Linked DNA regions of Rhinolophus ferrumequinum. The protein of the gene in region 1 purifies or fractionates together with the protein of each later gene. This does not show direct contact. Links are inferred from orthologs where the notes say so. Each region holds a gene or a part of one and is shown in the gene's direction. Other genes may lie near its edges.

Region 1 (10,149 bases):
AAACCTGCCCAGATTGCTTTCTTTCACTTAGTAATATGTATTTAAGGTTCCTCCAAGTTTTTATGACTTGATAGCTCGTTTCTTTTTTAGTGCTGAATAATATTCCATTGTCTGGATGTACCACAGTTTATCCATTCACCTTCTGAAGGATTTCTTGATCATTTCCAAGTTTGGGCAATTGTAATTGAAGCTGCTATAAACATCCATTTGCAGGTTTTGGTGTGGACATCTGTTTTCAGCTCCTTTGGGGAAGCACCAAGGTGCATGATTGCTGGGTCACATGGTAAGAGTATGTTTAGTTTTGTAAGAAACTGCCAAGCTATCTTCCAAAGTGGCTGAACCATTTTGCACTCCCACGAGGAACGACTAAGAGTTCCTCCACATCCTCTCCAGCATTTGGTGTTTCAAGAGTCTTGGATTTCTCCCATTCTGATAGGTGTGCAGTGGTATCTCACTGTTGCTTTAATTTGCAATTCCCTAATGACACAGGATGTTCAACACCTCTTCATATGCTTATTTGCCATCTTTGTATCATCTTTGGTGAGGTGTCTGTTCAGGTTTGTCCATCTTTAAATTGGGTTCATTTTCTTATTGTGGAGTTTTAAGAGTTCTTTGTGTATTTGGTAACAGTTCTTTTTCACGTGTCTTCTCATTCGCTCTCTCCCAGCCTGTGGTTTGCCTTCTCTTTCTCTTGATGGTCTTTGCCTTTTATTCTTGGAAAGATGGGAGCCATTGGGGGATTTTGAGCAAAAGAGGGACATGATGGAACTGAAATTTTAGCTCCTATATAATACTCAAGTGGTGGTGTCTGAGAGGTCATTTTCTGGAGCTCGAGGGTGAGGTCGAGGCAGGAAATAAACATTTGGAAATCATTAGCATGTAGACACTTTTCTAAAAGATTCATGTAACAAAACTGAATATTTTAAACTGAACGATTTTGTAGCATTTAGTACATTCACAATATTGTGTAAGCACCACCTCTATCTAGTTCCAAAATATTTTCATTGTCCCAAAATAAAACCCTTTATCCACTAAGCAGTTACGCCCTCTACTACACTCCGCCCCTGGCAATCTGCTGTCTCCATAGATTTGCCTATTCTAAACATTTGAAATAGATTCATACACTGTGTGGCCCTTTGTGTCTGACTTCTTTCGCTTAGCATGTTTTAAGGTTCATCCACATTGTAGTATGTTTTAGGACTACATTACTTTTTATGGCTAAATATTCCATTGAATATATAACACAACTTGTTTATCCATTTATTTGTTGAGGAACATTTAAATTGTTTCCTGTTTCCATCTCAGCTATTGTGAATAGTGTAGTAGCAATAAACATTTGTTTACGAGTATCTGAGTACATGAGTACATGTTTTCAATTCCTTTGGGTAGATACTACCAAGGAAGTAGATAGTTTTTTCATGTCACAAGACTGGAAGCCAAAGGGGTGAATGTAGAGAGAGGACGAAGGTCTGAATCCTGGGACAGGTCATTATTAAAAGGCCAGTATGGGGCAGACGGGTGGCTCAGTTGGTTAGATCACGAGCTCTGGGCAACGGGGCTGCCGATTCAATTCACACATGAGCCAGTGAGCTGCGCTTCCAACTAGAATGAAGTAAATGAGCTGCTGCTCAGCTCCCGGGTGGCCAGATGGCTCAGCTGGTTGGTGCGTGGGCTCTCAACCACAAGGTTGTCGGTTCGACTCCTCCTCGACTCCCTCCAAGGGATCGTGGGCTGCGCCCCCTGCAACTAAGATTGAACACGGCACCTTGAGCTGAGCTGCCCCCAAGCTCCCAGATGGCTCAGTTGGTTGGAGCGCGGGCTCTGTGGTTGCTGGTTCAACATCCACAAGGGATGGTGGGCTGCGCCCCCTGCAACTAACAATGGCAACTGGACCTGGAGATGAGCTGTGCCCTCCACAACTAAGACTGAAAGGACAACTTGACTTGGATGGAGCTGATGAGTCCTGGGAAAAACACTACTGTTCCCCAATAAAAAGTCCTGGAAATACACACTGTTCCCCAATAAAGTCCTGTTTCCCTTCTCCAATAAAATCACACACACACACACACACACACACACATATATATATGTTGTACACACACACACACACACACACACACACACACACACACACAAGACATCCATTTTGCTTAACCCGGATTCCAATGTACAGTCATGAACCACTGGTATACAGGATTGTTCCCAACAGATATCGTATCCTTCAAACAGGACTCCTGACCCTTTCTTGCCAGAGTTTCCATGTCCCCATCATCCCAGTTGCAGAGAAAGCTGGGAATTCACTCTTGACCCTCCTTTATCTCTTCCTCCTTCCACTCTTCCAATTTCTATCTATTCTTCCTCCAACTCTCTGTACCTCTTCCACCTTCACACTAGTGCAAGCCACCACTTTCTCTACTCTGGGCCACTGCTATGGCCTAAAGGGACTCCCCACTTCCTCTCCTTACCTGCTGGCCAAGTCTCCACCCAGCAGCCAGAACAGCCATGGGGTTCTCCTGATTAAAGCCCTTCAACTGCTTCCCACTGTGCTCCAGAAAAAGCTGAAGATGCTCACCAAAGCCCACAAGGCCCTATCTGGTATGGCTGCTACTCACCTCCCCCTCAAGCCCCCTTGGGCCTTTTTCTGTTCCCACACTCTTTTCCTCCTCAGGGCTTTGGCACATCCTGTTTCCTCTCTAGTGTCATCCTCCTCTTTGCTCTTGCTCATCCTTTGGATTTTGACATACGTACCTCTCCCTCAGAGAAGTCTACCTGACTTCTCCATCCCAGGAAGATCCCATGTCATGACCTCATCACACCCTAGGCTTTTCTTCCGTTGCATTTCGAGTTTTCTATCACGTATTAGTGTGATCAGTATGGGAGACTGTCAACTGAACTCATTGACTGTCCGCTCCATGGGCAGGAGCCCTGCCTTTCCAGTGTGATCACTGCAGGCCCGATCAGCTCAGTGCTTAGCATGTTGAGGGTGCTTAAAAATATTACTTAAAGATCGATGTGGAGACCCCACTTGCCCATTTACTGTGTATTACTCAACATTACGAGGTAAGGTTTAGGGAACTCCAAGGTGACCTGCATATGGACTCCTCATAACCAGCCTGTGGAGATGGGCGCCATTATTATTTCCATTTTACAGGTGAAGAAAGGGTAGTGTACATGAGTCCAATAAACTTGCCTGGCACCCACCAGCTACTAACATAGAGTCAGGTTTTAAATCCAGGTCTTTCTGATTCCAGTGTGCGATCTCCTCTTCTACTCTACGCTACAAAGCATGCTAGCGATGCTGGGTATTCACTAATGACTAAAATTAACTTCTTTGTCATTTAAATTGAGGGAAGGGAGACAGACAGCAGAAAAGAGGGTACCCAAGAAATGTGAAGGGAAAAGGAGTCAGTGGTCAAAAAGGAGGCGAGGCTTGAGTTGGTGAATCAGCTGACACCTAAAAAATGAAGAGCAGGATAAAGAGGCAAGGTGGGGAGAGTCACGGGCTGTGGAACCTGACCTTGGGGAGCGTTTGTCCAGTTGGGGGACTAAATGAGGTGGCACTGGAGATACTTTCAGAACACAGAAGAGGCCGCCTAGAGTTCTGGGCCTTCACACTAGGAACAAGGCTCTCTCACTGCTTTGATGTCGACTCAAATGTCTTCTTCGCATCGGGCCCTTCCCTGGCTGTCCCATTTAAAATGTTCACGACCCAAGATGTCTCTGTCTCAACACAACGTATTTTACTTATTTCTCTTGTCTCTCACTTGCCTCCCTTACTAGACCGTGAGCACCACAGCGGTCTGAGATTTTTGTCTGTTCTGTGCCGCTGCACTTGCGCCTGGGACACAGGAGCAGGTTAATAAATATTTGCTAAACTAATTAATAGAACTAGGTAGGCAGAAAAGACAGGTATGGTGGGGGCCCACCTGGCTTCGCAACAGGCCCCGCCATCCCCCTACCAGGGATGAAAGCGATTCTCAGGCCCGCGCTTGGCCGACTTTGCTCAACCTCAGTCCAGCTTCACGCACAGGGCCTCAGGTCCTCATTCCGACTATCACGACCACTCGGCCATCCCTTCCCTGCAGACGCCACCGCCTCCCCGTCCCATCCCCCAACGTGCCGTCGCCGCCGCCACCACCGCCGCAGTGGCGCCCGCTCTGCGCACGCTCGGCGGCGTCGGGACGCGCGACGTGCGGAAGAAGAAGACGCCTGTGCGCAAGCGCAGGACCTTCCTGGAAATCGGTGGGAGGTGCGTCGGGCGCGTACGCTCTCTCTGGTCCGGCCCACCTCCCCTAGCCCTCGTCCCACGCGCACGCGCGCTGGAAGCGGAAGGGCGGGCGGGCGCGCGCACGAGGCCGGGCGGGCGGCGGAAGCGAGAGAGGCCGTCCGTGGGGGGGAGGAAGCCGGTGAGTGCGCGCGCAGCGGGGACGCGGGAGGCGTGGGGGGGCGGCCGAGGCGGGCGCGCGCACGAGGCTTACTCTCGCTCGGTGGCGGCGGCGGCTTCTTTGTTTCGTGAGGAGAGGCGAGAAGCTTACTCTGCCTCCGGCCCCGCTCGGAGGGTCGGGGGCGGTGCCGGGAAGGCGGCGGTGCCGGCGGCTCCCGGTAAGGAACGCGGGCCGCGGGGGGAGCGCCGCGCGGGGCTTGGGAGGGTGGTTTGAATGGAGCCGGGGGGCCGAGGGGGGAGGGGGCCACTGGCGCCCAGAGCAGGGCTGGGGTACGGCGGCGCCCGAGGGTCAAGAAGCCCGTCCGGCACCGCGCGCGCGGGGAAAGCCACAGTGTAGCGAGGCCGCGGCGGCTGTAGCATCCGCGCGGGCGGGTGGGGTGGGGGCCCGGGCCGCGTGGAGGCCGCGCGACCCCCGCGCGCGCTCTCGCCAGGGTCGCGGGACAAAGCTTGCTGCCCCCTTGGCGGGCCAGGGGTCTCTGCGGCGGCTGCAACAATAGCCGGGCTTCGGGGATTTTCTGGCTATGTTGTAAAAGGTCCGAACCGAATATTGCCCTTTAGGGAGGCTGTGATCGAGGCTCCGTAAGAAAAAACCCAGATGTGTCCAGTGCCTCCTGGCAGCACCCCTGGGTTAGCCGACCTAAGATTTTATTTTAAAAATCACTTATTCTAGGTTTTCAAGGAAAGGTAAATGACTTGGCCCATCCCTTGCAAGTAGTGACTTCAAAATGTTTGCCCTGAGTGGTCGACAGCAAGTGGAGGAGGACCGGCACTGTTTGCTGTTGAAAGCATTGTATTTGTTTTGCATCCTTTTCCCTTCCTCCCAATTGATTTTCCAGATGAAGGCTTTTATTTAAAACATGGTCCTTTAAGAGAGTGTTTTGACGGTCTTGAAGACACCAGTCTTGATTTTTATTTTTTTCTCCCAGTGAATCCTTGGAAAAGTAGGGAATAAATAAGTGTAAGAGCCACTTCCCAGGAATTTGAAACAAGTTTTCAGTTTGAATTGACAGACGGAATTAGGGTTTCATTGCTGGCGCTGTCAGTCACTTAGCTGTGTGACTTTAGGCAAATAGTTTAATCTCTGTACCTCTTAGATTCCTCCTTTGTGAAATGGGAATAATGTCACAAATGGAGCTGGTGAAAACCTGAAAAATGGTTCCTGGGAAGTGAGAAGCCCTGTTGTTACTGTCTGGTTCAATCTCCTTCTTCATTGTTCAGCAAATATCCATTGAGTCCCTAACTGGGTGTCAGATGGTTGGTGGTTGGATGCCCTGAGGAGCCTCTCCAGTCTTGTAGGAGAACAGGTGGTAAATGTGGGAACTACTCCCCTTGGCCTTTCATTTAATCCTCACAACTCTTACTGTGAAAGGAACACAGTGGATACCCAGGGGAGTAGCTGGAGCCTGAGATCAAGGAGGCTGCCTGGAAGAGGGGGCCTCTACTCGAGTCAGGGAGGATGTCCAGGCTTGGCTTTTGACTGCCCTGTAATAGTCATTGTTCCCTCTGCTACACTCGCACGTTGCCTTGGTCCTTTCCTGTGTAGACGTTCACTCCGGGTTGTAATTCCACATCCAGTCTTCTCTGAGGGCCATCAGAGTAGGGTGCTGTCTCCCGCAGTGTTCTTTGGGCCTGGCACATGGTAGGCCCTTAGCAAAACGTTTGTGCAATGAGTGAAGGGCCCTTGGGAGGATTGAGTGAACATGTGCGTGAAATGCTTGGTACAGGACTGATTAGTGGTGGGTTGTAAGCAGGAAACATTTTAGTTGTTGTTGGTTTTTAACTTTCTAGGCTATTGTTTCCCAAACCTCATTCCCCCAGAAGGAGGGTGTGGGTTGGTAGTTAGTGTGGAATGGTGGTGAGGAGTGCTGTTCTGGAATCAGACCTCCTGGATTCTAAATCTTAGCTTGACCTTGAGCAAGGTACTTATCAGTGGGTCCCCCCCAACTTGTGAAACAGGCATGACAGTGATGCCACCTCAAACGGTGGTTGTGAGGATTGAATGAGGTAACATACCGTGTTTCCCCGAAAATAAGACCTAGCCGGACAGTCAGCGCTAATGCGCCTTGTGGAGCAACAATTAATATAAGACCCGGTATATATTATATTAGACCCGGTCTTATAGTAAAATAAGACCGGGTCTTATATTAATTTTTGCTCCACAAGGCGCATTAGCGCTGACTGTCCGGCTAGGTCTTATTTTCGGGGAAACACGGTTTGAAGCTGCTTAACACACTGCAGCACCCGGCATATGGTGAGCTAGTTATATGTATTTTACTAATTTGCCTTACAATCAATGCATACATAATTGTGAAAATAACAAATGTTTGTCCTCGTGCCCTCTAAAATCATTTTGTGTCTCACTCTTCTGGAGACATTGATCTTCCAGGGTTTGAGTCCGGTGGGGGTGGGTGACATCAGTGCCGTGGTCTCCAAAGTTTTTTCTGTCTGTGCAAAGCATCCCACATAAACACATTTTTATTTACATACCTTTGCCACTCCTTGTGGACCCTCAAAACCCTGGGAGGTAACCCTAGAGCACATGTGAGAGGGTGGGAGGAACTCCGTATTTTGGGTGAATGGCTGGTGAAAACATTCTGCTAATGAAGAAACTGACATCCAGGGCTATTTCTTCACCTGGGGCTCTCCAGTCAGCCGTCCTGGTTTTGACTCCAGGCTTTGCTACTTTTTTTCTTGGTGCCTCAGAGAAATGGGGTTGACAGTAGCTTACTGGCACATAGTAAGTCCTCAGATTTGCCAGCTGATTTTGGCCTCGGTCATCAGGGCTGCCATGGCACAGGGGACCTATTCACATTGACGGTAGACCAAACACAATGTGAAAGGTGCCTCCTGGAGTTGTGCAAGACTTGGTCCAAGAGGGACCCATTCACACCGACCACAGATAGAACACACTGTGAATGGAGTTGTGCAAGAGTGGCCTAAGCACTCATGTCCCATTCATACAGTGAACAGACGTGCACCGAGTGCCTGCCACGAGCCAGGCACTGCTAGGGCTGGCGATTCCATCGGCAGCAGGCACACAGGGGCCCTGTTCTGCTTCGCTCAGATCCATCTCCTTATTTGCAAAGGGGGGCAGTAATAGTACCCAACTCGGGGGATTGCTACAGACTCAACAGCAAAATGACAAATGTAGAGTGCTTAGAAAGGTGTCTGACACATATTGGTAGCTGTTGTCATTTATGAAGATTCCTACAATACCTTGGTGGGTACAGAATATATTTTTGTCCCTTTGCAGTAGTTCCATATGTTTTCAAGGTGTTAACGAAGGCATCAACTCCTTCATTTTGTCCTTAATACTTAAAAGTTTGTATGCTTTGCAGTTTCACCATAAGGCACTAGAAAGAGGGAAGTGTGTTTGGTGGCATGGCTTTTGAAAGATATCAAATGTTCATTGTTCACGTATTTTCTCATAACTTGTAACATTGATTGGAACACTTCAGAGCGAATCAAAGTTTTTAAAAAAATATTAGAATAAAAGGGGTGTGGAAAACCTATGAAAAGGAAGTAACAGCTGCAGGAATATGGGGGGAAATGTCAGAGGAGCAACATGTCAGAATTGGGTCTGAGGCCAATGGAGCTGCTGTTGCTGTCAACCTTATAGCTGTCACCCCGAAGAAGTAGTAGGCTCATTAATATGCTCAGTGATACCTTAGTTGGAGTTCTCTAGTTGCACGCTGCTGTTACTAATTTTTCAGGATATGGAATTGACAGACATGGGAAATTTGGCCTCTGCTCATCTTCCTATGTGGGAAAGGGCCTGGAGGGAAGCGCCAGGTGGAGCTGGGTTTGTGGGGGGATTAGATTTCACAAGGCAGAGGAAGGGAGGGGATGCATGGGTTTCCCTCCAGTTATCTCAGGGCAGGGGCTTTCTTTAGAAAACGGGATGTGTTAACAGGACATAAACCTGCCCTGGCCCCTTCCTGGCCTTTGCACCCAGATTTGTTTCCAGAGCTTTACTTCGGGACTCATTTACTTTGTTGAAGGGGCACGTCTTCATTTTTGCATTTTACTGAGAACAGTGAGTTTTGTTCAGTGTGAAGTTCACCAACTGTGAGTGTGATCAAGGAGGATGGACCCCAGTTTTAGTAGCAGTGGCCTTTAAAATGTCTCCTTGGGCTGCTTTAAATTCCTCTTTAGCCAGCAGGTCAGCCCCACTGGCTCAGGAAGCAGGTGGCCACATGACAGTTGCTGCTTCACCTGTGACAGTCTGAGACTTGAGGCGGCAGGGTTTGAAGTGTGCCATCCTGACTTGCCCGGAGTGTTCCAGTAAAGTATCACGGTCCTAATGGTGACACTCACTGCACCCTGCGAGCTGCATCTGGCCCTGGTGACCACTCATCGCAGCCTGGGCTGCAGGTGTGCTGAGTGCCTTTGCCCATCCCCACAGATTACCCCCTACGTGCTCCTGCCTGTAGGAGGGCTTCCCTTTGCCTGCACCCCACATCCTGCCAGGCTCTCTGCCTTCTGATCTCAGCCTGAATCAGTTACTCAGACCTTGCAGTCATACTTGAGGCAGGATTCTACTTCCTGTGTGATTTGGGGCAAATGACTTAACCTCTCTGACCATACAATCCTGAACTCCCGTAGTCTCCCCACTTGTCAGTATTGAACGAAAGGGATGTGAGTTGGGGCTGAAATCTAGCCTGGCTGGGCTTTGCCAAGCTTGGCGTCAGGGCTGAGCAGCCCCAAGTCTCAGGAATAAGCCATTTCTGCAGGGTCACCTTGCTCGTCCTTGACCCCCCTCGCCCCACATGCCCCACATCTGTTCCATTAGCCTGTCCAGAGAAATCTAAAACCATCATCAGATCGAGCCACTGCCCTGCCCAGAATATTCCAGTGGTTTCCCATTGCACCTGGAGTAAGACTCCTTCCTGACCACTGCCTTCAAGGCCTGCGATCTGCTCTCCTTCCCATCTCCGACCTCATCTGCCACACACCCCTTGCCCCCAGGTCCCACCCCAGGGCCTTTGCACTCGCTGGTCCCTCTACCCATAGATAGCCATGTGACTCCCCTTTCACTTCAGGTCTCTGCTCAGATATGTCCCCATCACTGAGACCATTCCTGGCCACCATGATTGAAAGAGCACCTTCCATCAACTAAACTGCTTGATCATTTTCTCATAGCACTTCTACCCCCACATGATGTCATGTCACATTTGTGTATGTGCTTGTCTCTGTCCCTCAGTTCTCAGTCCCACCAGGCAGGGACTTTGTTCTCTGCTAGGTGCCCATTGCCTGGAACCTTGCTCAGCCCAGAGTTGGTCTTTGGGTGGCTGGGAGTGCCTGTCCCAAGTGATACTCGGCAGGTGTGGGGGCCATGCCTCCCAGCTCCCTCTTGCCCACTCTCGCAGTTTCTGAGCTCCTGCTCTCCTGCCCTCTCCACGTGTCGTGCTCAGTGGTGCGTATGCACAGCAGGCACCACAACATACCCAGCGGTGAGGGATGACATCCATCTAGGTTTGACCAGCCTTAAGGGGACCAGGGTGAGGAGGGATTTGTAAAACTTGTTGCAGTTACCTGAGGTGTGTTTGTGTTGGGCCATGTCCTGACTCTGGGTCATGGTCAAAAGAGTTTGAAAAGCGTCCATCTGGTGGATAGATAGGATAGTGTTCGTGTTCTTAACCGTATAGACACTATCCCTATCTTCTGGATTAGAGTGTGAACTGCCTCGGCAGAAAACCAGTGGT
Region 2 (9,822 bases), on another chromosome or scaffold:
TTGTGAAGTTTCTTTAAATGTTTTGTCCATTTTTGTTAATAGGGTTGTTTATCTTATTGTAAGTGTTCTTTATATTAATGTATTCTGGATATGAGTTGTTTGTTTTCATGTTTCATAAGTTCATATGTTTTCTCCTAGACTATGTCTTCACTTTTCATTTTTTTATAATACCTTTGAAGAGCAGAGTTTTTAATTTTAATGAAATCCAATTTATAAATTTTTCTTTTATGCTTCTTGCTTTTGTGTCATATGTAAGAAACATTTGCTTAACTCAAGGTCATAAAGATTTTCTGTTTTTTTGCAGAAGTTTTACTTTTTACATTTAGGTATATCTATTTTAAATTAACTTTGGTGTATATGTGAGGAAAAAGTCAAAGTTCATTTTTAAAAACATGGATATCTATCTGTTCAAAACAGTCCTTTCTCCATTGAAGTATCTTGGCATCTGTGTTATTATAGTTTCCAATGGCTGCCGTAATACATTACCACAATCTAGGTGGCTTAAAATAAATTTATTTTCTTACAATTCTGGAGGCCACAAGGCTGAAATCATGGTATCTACAGGACTGCACTATAATATAATGCTATTATTTTTCTTTTAAGAAACTGTATAATAAATGTGATTGTTAGGTTAGTTTACTATATATTAGAACAGTAGTTTGAATATTGAATCACTTATCAGTATTTTAGTGCACATTGCCTAATTCAGCCATAAATGTTAGATGGGAAAAAACAATCTTATTAGTTTCCTATTTCTGCTCTAACAAGTTATCACAAATTTTACAGCTTAAAGAAACACATATTATCTTACAGTTCTAGAGGTAGGATGTCCAAAATGGGCCTCACTGTGTTATAATTAAGATTTTAGCAGGTTGGTGTTCCCTCTGGAGGCTCTAGGGGAGAATCTACTTCCTTGTCTTTTCCAGCTTCTAGAAGCCACCCACATTCCTTGTCTCATGACCCCCTTCCATCTTCAAAGCCAGCAATAGCCAGTCAAGTCTTTCTCAAGATACCATAATTCTGATTATGACCCTTCAACTCACTGTTCCTCATTTATGGATATTTGTGATGACTTTGAGCTCACTCAGATGATCCTGGTTAATCCCCATATTTTAAAGTCAGCCAACTAACAGCCTTAATTCTATTTAGAACCTGAATTCCACTTTACCACGTAACCTCTCATATTCACAGATTCTGCAGATTAGGAGGTGGCCATCTTTGTCAGGATGAAATTATTCTGCCTACTGCACCCATTCATAGGAAAATTAGTTAACAATTCATAGGGAAATTAGTATATCATAATCCTCTCTGTAAATTGTGAAGCAGTTCAAGAACAGTTAGTATATTCTTTTGCTAAAGGTAGAGTAGCTACACATCATGCATAAGGTCAGATAACATGCTAAATTGGAAAAAGATCACTTAATCTCTAAATTATAGCCAGAAAATTTCCCAAGGGTAGACTGCACTAGACTGCACTATCAAGAACTTTTGAACATTTCTACTCTTAAAGTATATATTTTTCTCCTTATTAGATTAAGAACAGATCTTATCCTTGTTGAGCAATTTATAATGTGCCACGTATTTTTTTACATATTGTACATGTTAAAATTTGGGACAATCTTTAAGACTCTAATGTAAGATAATCACTTAGCACAGTGGCTGTATATAATAAATGCTAAATAAACAGTAATTAAACACCTTATTATTTCTAATAGCCTTAGGGCAGTTGTTTTTCTGTAAGGCAAATGAAATATAGAAATGGCCTGTCCAGTAGCATTGCATTGGTGGAAGAACTGGGAACTCCAAACCTGTGCATTTCTCAGTGAATTAAGGTTGCATAGAGCTTCACATAGAAACTATTTTTTTTAAAGCAATACCATCCTATAACATTAAACACCAAAATATAATTGATTCAGCTCCTCCTTAATTCAGTCTAAGTTTGATACTGTAAAAAGAGATGAAAACGCACTAAATAGGGTTTGTTATGGTCTACTTTGAATTAAATCTTCTGGAGTATTGAAAAAGTTTTATGGAGAATTGGGAAAGGTGATTTGTTCTTGCCTGGAATAATGAATATATATATTATATAGTCGCCTTATAATTTTGAAATCTGTTAAAGCGCCAACTCAAAATGACTCATCAAATGCCATGGAAAGGGTGAGCAGAAATAGTTTGAATTACCTGAGGAGTTTTGCTCTGAGCCCATTTATGAACAGACAGGCTTGGTCAATGCCTTTCCAAATGTATTCTAAGAATTTATGGCAGCACAGGGGCTTAAAATATCAGCAAATTTGATAGTCCGTGTGCTCTGTTAATTATAAAACAATATTACAGAAATGTTTGTATGAAAGTAATCTCAATTATCTGCACATGCATAATACGTTTTTTGTGGATTAAGATAATTTTTAATGCCATGATTATGTAGTTTCACAAAATATTGAGCGTATTCCTGGAGCACTTCATCAGTTCCATGAAAGGCATTTAAGGAATACAAACAAGTTCATGTAAAACAAATTAAAAATTGAAACATTGAAAATCAAACATGGACAATTTTCCTACTACCTTTTTTGAGTTAAATGTGTCTATATTTATTGGTATGAATAATCAAGATTTGTTCATGCAGATCTTTTATTTAGTCTGAGCCACTGTATATGTTCTTCTATTAGGATTATTCTTAAAAACCGTCACCTCTTCCTTGTGTGACTTCAATTCCTCTGTCAGATGTCTCAATCCAGAACAGCCTAAATAATGGGACTGATGTTTCTGGATGGGGCGATGGTTGCCTGGGTAAGCTCTTTTTTAAGTTCCCGCAGTCATTTCTCAGACTTGGGCCAACCTCCCATCTTTATTCTCCATTTTCTTAACTAAATGCTGGGGTCTCTTTATTTTCCTTTTCGTCCCAACTCTGCTACCACTAAATCTGTACCTTGGGATTCCTTTCTCTTCAAAACTAATGAAGTGAGGCAGGATTTACTAAGTGCCCTTAATTATCTTTTCCTTAACTCAAGGCTCTTACAGTTACAAAGATCTAAGAAAGTTCCTCGAGGCTACAATCTACCCTCTCATTCTCTGAATTTTCTACTTTTCCACATTAAACTGTGTTTACGAAGGAAGCATGAGAGAAAGGTAGTGTCCTATTAAAGTGTCTTCTCTAAGGGAGATGATTTGTATTTCTGGCTGGACCTTTATTCCAATGCTTCCCAACCGATTTCATGTGACAGATACATAGAAAACACATGGTATCACAGAAAAGACTGGTTATGCATGCCTCAAGTCTAGCCTGTCAGTGCCCTAGGTCCTACCCAGCTACTGTGAAGGAATAAGCGCCTTGGGCTGACCTATTACCCATTTTTAGTTGATATCCTTTCCTGTTGTTGGGGAGCTGTAATGTAAACAAAGAAAGTATCTCCTGGGTACCTCCTTGGAATAGAAGTCCCCTTAGCACTTTTTTTTTTTTAACCGAGCTATAGAAATTCAGACTATTCCTACTGGTTCATGTTGCTCTTTAAGATTTCATTGCTATCTGCCAAGCAGATACAACTGGAGCAGTAGGACAATTTGTCATTTTTCCCACTGAAATATTGTTCTTAACTACTTAGGTACTTTTATGTAAATATCAAGATGATGATAAAAGCCAGGTGTTGAACATACAGTGTTTGTGGTGGACGAGACTTAGTTTCTGAGTTCATGAGAAATTTTTCCAACATGAGATTACATTAAATTCAAATATACCAGAGTTGTTTCCCCCCCCCCCCCAGGGCTTAGAGTAGTGAAAGGCAATTAAATTCTTAAGAATAATTACCATTAGTAGAAGTATAAATTCTCTTCCCTTTATTCATAGGATGGCTCGAATTTTTTTCACGTTAGGTCTTTGTTTAAATATAGCAGAAGACTTCCCATCCTAACTCACATTGAGTGTCCCTGTCTGTTCTCAGTTCCTTGTTTGCTAGTCTTTCTTAGAACTTTACATATAGCATATTTGTTTATTTGGTTTTAGTCTGTCAGCCCTACCAGAATATAAGCTCCTTGAGAGCAGCTCCCATATTGAACTTGTCCACAGTTGTATCCTAGGTGCCTAGGATAAAGCCCATAGGTAGAACGCACCCTAATGTGCTGAATGAAACTTATGACCTTTTTGTGGAGAGCATTTATTTGAAACAAAAAACTTTATAAATTTTTTCTTTATTTTTTCAGTTTATATATAAACTGAGGGATTGATTTTGAGCCTCGTTAATTTGGGGTGACATTTTATATAAACTTTTCCTTTGTATTAGGTGGAAATGTAAATTTACAGAATAATTTAAAAAACCTCACACCAACACATAACCCACATTTGCCCATCGTCCTTACATAATTGGAGAGCTTTGTTGTTTTTCTTCCTAACAGAGTTGAAGCCTGGCAGCTTGGACCTAATTTACAAGGCACTAAGTATGTAATTGGAAAAGAGTGAGGGTTCCCTATTTCAAAACTTAATTCGAAAAATCCAAGTCAGACGAACTCGACCCGACGTTTCTAAGGGTTTGTCCCAAGCAGCGAACTCCTCCCCTGGTACGCTAGCCAAGTTGGCCGACTGCCTCTGAGTACTGGACACAGCCCTGTTTCCCGATTTTGAATCAGGCTCGCTTCCAATTGTTAGTGACGACGTGTGCGCGTGCAAGACTGTGGACTCAGAGGTGCGCATTTGGGGCGTAGCCGAGCCGTTTAAACTAGCGAATCCGCGTTCACCTAGTCCTCCACCTCTACCTCATGTCAGCAGATGCTCCAGCGGTTTGCACGGATTCCCGTGTCCTGACCTTCTTCCTCCCCTATCCGGGGTGCCTAGACAACTCGAGGAGGGGTGAGGATAAAGTTGGAAAAATTGAACTAGATCAACAACAGCGCCGAAACGCAGTTTGAGGGACATTTCAGCGCGCCGAGGAGGGAGGCAACTTGCACCCGCGTGAAAGGGGCGGGCCAGTTCGGGCCACTCGCATTTCCTGTGACAGGCGCTGCCCCAGCCTCTCACTCTCCCGTGGCGGCGGGACCATTTCCTGAATCGCAGAAGCGGAGGGAGGGCTGGGGCGCGGTCCTACCATTAGCGCAAAGAGACTGGGGGCCATGAAAGGAAAGGTAGAAGGACGAGAGGTCGATCAAAAACTGAGAAGTTCCATGGGGGCTTAGATTCTCAAATAACATTCGAAAGAGGACGTGTGTGGGCCAGAGTTCCTCCTTTAGGCCAGGCAGGCCTCCTGTTTGTTCGACATTGGAGCATCCCCCCACCCCGCATTCCCGAAGTGGTTCAGCCCGAGAGGCCGGCGTCTTTCCCCCAGTTTGCTGTTCACCGGTGCGCTCGGGACTTGCCGATAGTGGTGACGGCGGCAACATGTCTGTGGCGTTCGCAGCCCCGAGGCAGCGAGGCAAGGGGGAGATCACTCCCGCCGCAATTCAGAAGGTGAAACCTCGCGGGGACGGGGATGCCAGGCCCATCCCGCCTTTGGGAGAGACCCCCGGGGGCCGGGCCGACAGTCGGTCGGGCCGGGGGCGGAGGCGGGCCTGCTGGGAGGCGGCGGTGTGGCAACCCGAGCCACGGGCTGTGCCTGAGTGGGTGGCGGAAGACGGCGAACTGGTTCTCTCACCGAGTCCTTGGCACGTTGGGCCTCTTTCCTACAGGCACAAAAGCCCAAGTAACCGCCGCCGGATTTCTCTAGGGATGGGGCGGCGTTCGGGCTGCGGGGCGCGTGCGCCCGGCGGCGCTGATCGCGCGGGGCAAGGGCTGTTACAGCCGGCGCCCCCCGCGGCCCCGCGCGTCGCTCCGGAGTTACTTTAGCGTCGCCCCGCCCAGCGCTCCGTGGCTGCTTAGTGTAGACCCGATCTCGGGTCGCGGGAGGCCGAGGCGAAGTCGCCGCCCTCCGCGGTGCTGCAAACTCCAGCCGAGTTGCGGAACTCCGAGAACTTGGGGGACGCTACAGGGAGCCTTCATAGAATCAGAAGGGTAGGCGAGGGAGAGCCCTCTGGACTTCAGGGTTAACCTCGGAGTCCCCTTCTCCATTCCGGATTCACCCCACATCCGTTTGCGTCTCCAGCAAATTTCATTGAGCGCCATGTCTAGGCTCTGAGGCTACAGTGGTGAGCCATGGACCCTGCCTTCATGGAGTTTACAGTCTAGTGGTAGAGACAATGATAATTATAACCAATTACGGAAGTCGTGATAAATACACTGGGAGCCGCCTCCCTTTTAGAGAGTAGTACTGTCTCTTGTTGCCGTGTTACTGCCAATTAGGGACACAAAGGTTCTTTATTGTCTTCTACTCTTGTTGCCTTATGAGCAAAGCAGCATTCTAAAATTTACTCAGCCAGACTTTGAAAAGTTACTTGCTAAACTTCGTAGTTTACCTTAAATATTTCGATTTTGTTTTATGCACTGGAGTAGGGATGAAAATTGAAGAAAGGTGAGTTTTTAGTACTAAGGGCAACATCGTATGTATTACTACTACATCCTATGCCCAATAGATTTGTTCATCAGTTTCTGTTTACTGTCAGGTTCTTTGTAGTGTGCCATTTGACGTTGATTTGCCTAACTGACTTTATTTTATGAGCAAACCGGCTTGGCAGTGCTTGGGTGCTGTATTTTCATATAGTGCATTGGGCTAAGTCTGCAGTGTGGCGAACAGCTCCAAGAACACACTCAAAAACTTTTTTTTTTTGGGGGGGGAGGGATTCACTTTTTATTTTTGGACTGTAGGAAATTCCTGAGTTTTTCTTTTTTTCTACAGTTTTTCTTAAGGTATTTCTCATGGGTGATTAATTCAGGAGATGTTGATCAATTAGTTGTCATCTTCAGATGAGAAGGGAAAGTGGATTCCAAATCAAGTGCCTCGTTTTACAGTGTGAGGGATTAATTTTAGATATGAGACATTCTAACGATACAGTTTGTTAGGCTGAGAGATCTACTGAGAAGATACGTTGTGAAATGGTTTGATTGTACTAATGCATTATAAGGACAATTTTTTTTGGCATCTAGTGAGTCTATTTAAGAAATTAACAGTTAATATTTTTTTCCAGCAAGTTAAGATTATGATTCATATGCAGAAAAAAGACACAGTTACTGTTAAATGGATCTTCGTTTTTAATTGAGTTATATTAACTAAATTATTGAGATAGAGTGATTATGGTATTCTACTTCATTCGTTGTTCCTCCTGTACTTGCCCGGAGGGATGGGGCAAGTACAGGGGGAACAGCTACTCCTGTCCCTTGATCTTTCAGATAAATCTGAAATTTTAAGTGGTTTGCATGGGATAGCAAAGGTGGCACTAAAGCTAACTGGCCTTTTAATTGCTATTAATACATGAGTATTCTTTTCTCAATGTCACTTTGCTTAGATGAATTATTTAATCCTTAAAACCAATACTGCTTTAAATTGTAATAACATGATAGAGTGATAAATAGGTATGCTTTTGTTTTTACACTTTTGGGACAACTGAATTATAAGGTAAGTCTGCAATAAATTTATTATACATAAGTAGAAATTATTGTATTTGATTATTTCATGTTTGGAGAATCACAAAACCATACTGTGTAAAACTTGGAAACTGGCCAGCTATCTCCTCAAGCTTCCTGGGCTGAAGTTTTTATGTATTTACTTCATTCTGGCAAGCTTCCTGGGCTGAAGTTTTTATGTATTTACTTCATTCTGGATAAGGACAATTTTCTTTACTACTAAAAAGCATTAGAATGATAGAAAGCTAACTTGGACTCAACAGTTAGTCTTAACAGACTAAAGCTTCTATTACATATATAGCAGGGGTAATTAAGTGTTTGAATACAAAAGAAACTTCAAATTTTTCCTTCAGGGCTGCAGGTAATAACTAAAAGGGAGCATAATTGGAATAGAGTTATCTAAAAATTGTTGATTAAACATGACATTCCAGAGGTGTGAAATAAGATTTAAAAGATCTGAGTGGATTCAGTTTCTGTATAGATAAATATTTCTAGAAATTTGAAGGTCTTTTAAAAATTTTACTTGATAACACTAGATTTACAATAAACTTTTTCCAATTTTATTTCAGATGTTGGATGAAAATAACCATCTTATTCAATGTATAATGGACTATCAGAATAAAGGAAAGACCTCAGAGTGTTCTCAGTAAGATTGATATGAAAATTTTCTTTTAATTTTCATTTTTTGTGTTGAAATTTAAATTTCATTTTGTGTTAACTTTTTAATAGCAGCTTTATTGAGATATAATTCACATACCATACAATTTACCCATTTTAAAGTGTATAATTCAAGTGTTTTAGAATATTGATAAGTTGTACTACCATCATTTCAATCAATTTTAGAACATTTTCGTTATCCCGTCAAGAAACTATATACACATCAGCAGTGACTCCCCATTTCTACCACCTAATTCCTCACCCCTTGACAATCACCAATTTTTCTGTCTGTGTAGATTTGCCTGTTGTGGACATTTCATATAAATAGATTCATACAATATGTGGTCTTTTTTGACTGCTTTGTCTTAGCATATTTTCAAGATTCATCCATGCTGAAACATGTATTAGGACTTTCTTTTTATTGCTGAATCTTCCATTGTATAGCTATGCTACATTTTATTTATTCATCAGTGATGGACATTTGGGTTTGTTTTCATTGGCTATTATGAATAATGCTACTATGAACATTAGTGTACAATTTTTTGTGTGACCTTTCTTGATTTTTACAAAAGAAAATTTTCTTTGGGATGGAGTGGGTATTAATTGTTTTTTATACTTCTTGCATTATAAAATAATGACTTCAAATTTGTGTATAATCTGATTTGTGGAAAAGTTAGATCTTCACATAGATAGGATGTTTAGTTATATCTATGTATGTGATTGAGAAAGCAAAACTCCTATCTAATAAATAGAGAATTGGTCATCATTCATAAGAACTAAACTTGTTAATTTGAAGTAATATGTCTGAAGAAAACAGCATCCCTTAATAGAATCTGATGGAGTGGGACAAGTAGAACATTTTACCAAAAGTCTCTAAAACAGCACCATCCAGTAGAAATACGAGGGGGGCCAAAAACATGTATACACATGATTTGTATTCATCTTTTGTTATCGATATATATTATTACAATCTTAATACAGTTTTTTCCTTTCTTAAAACGTGTATACATTTTTTTGGCACCCTCTCTATATTGCGAGCCACATAGGTAGTTTTACATTTGCTAGTAGACACATTGAACAAGGAAACAGACACAGGAGAAAGTAATTTTAATAATATACTTTAACTCATCATTTCCAAAATAATACCACTTCAATATGTAATCAAAATAAAACATTAATGATAGTTTACATTCTTTTGTTTCATACTAAATCTTTGAAGTCCAGTGTGCATCTTAATCTAATAATATCATTTTGCACTAGCCACATTTCAGTGTATCTAGTGGTTACCATTTGGACAACACGGCTCTAGAATATGCTCGCGATCATTTTGGGACATATTTGTCTTTTAGGGATCTCACTGGTCTGCTCTCAAGATAAGATACTGCATTTAGTTATCAAGTGTCTTGAGTATAATTTAATCTGGAACTGATCTTCAGTCTTTCTGTTAACTTGGGCGATACTAACTAACATTGTTGAAGAGTTCAAAGCTGTCGCTTTGTGGAATGTCTCTCATTTTGTATTTAAGGGGTGTTTTCCCTTGATTAGATTCACATTACTCATTTTTGACTGGAGTATTACAGATGTGATGTGTCCTCCTCAGTGCATCCACAAGTAGCCATATGATTTGTCCTAGCATTTGTCCCAATATTTGGGTCACTGAGATGGTTGGTGCCTGCCAGTTTCTCCAC

Evidence for each region.
Region 2: the proteins of SMARCA4 (region 1) and SS18 purify together in Homo sapiens (affinity purification with mass spectrometry; 8 studies listed by BioGRID and IntAct, counting the BioPlex papers as one, with this or other methods). This does not show direct contact. The link is inferred for Rhinolophus ferrumequinum from reciprocal best matches to the Homo sapiens genes SMARCA4 and SS18.

Annotation. Positions count from the first base shown.
Region 1 is NC_046301.1:39,449,247-39,459,395, reverse strand, and holds the start of SMARCA4 (transcription activator BRG1), read left to right. Parts: upstream 1-4,260; 5' UTR 4,261-4,406; intron 4,407-4,427; exon of another isoform or gene 4,428-4,602; intron 4,603-10,149. UniProt on the Homo sapiens protein: ATPase involved in transcriptional activation and repression of select genes by chromatin remodeling (alteration of DNA-nucleosome topology).
Region 2 is NC_046302.1:22,093,282-22,103,103, reverse strand, and holds the start of SS18 (protein SSXT), read left to right. Parts: upstream 1-5,276; 5' UTR 5,277-5,362; coding exon 5,363-5,431; intron 5,432-8,046; coding exon 8,047-8,123; intron 8,124-9,822. UniProt on the Homo sapiens protein: Appears to function synergistically with RBM14 as a transcriptional coactivator. Isoform 1 and isoform 2 function in nuclear receptor coactivation. Isoform 1 and isoform 2 function in general transcriptional coactivation.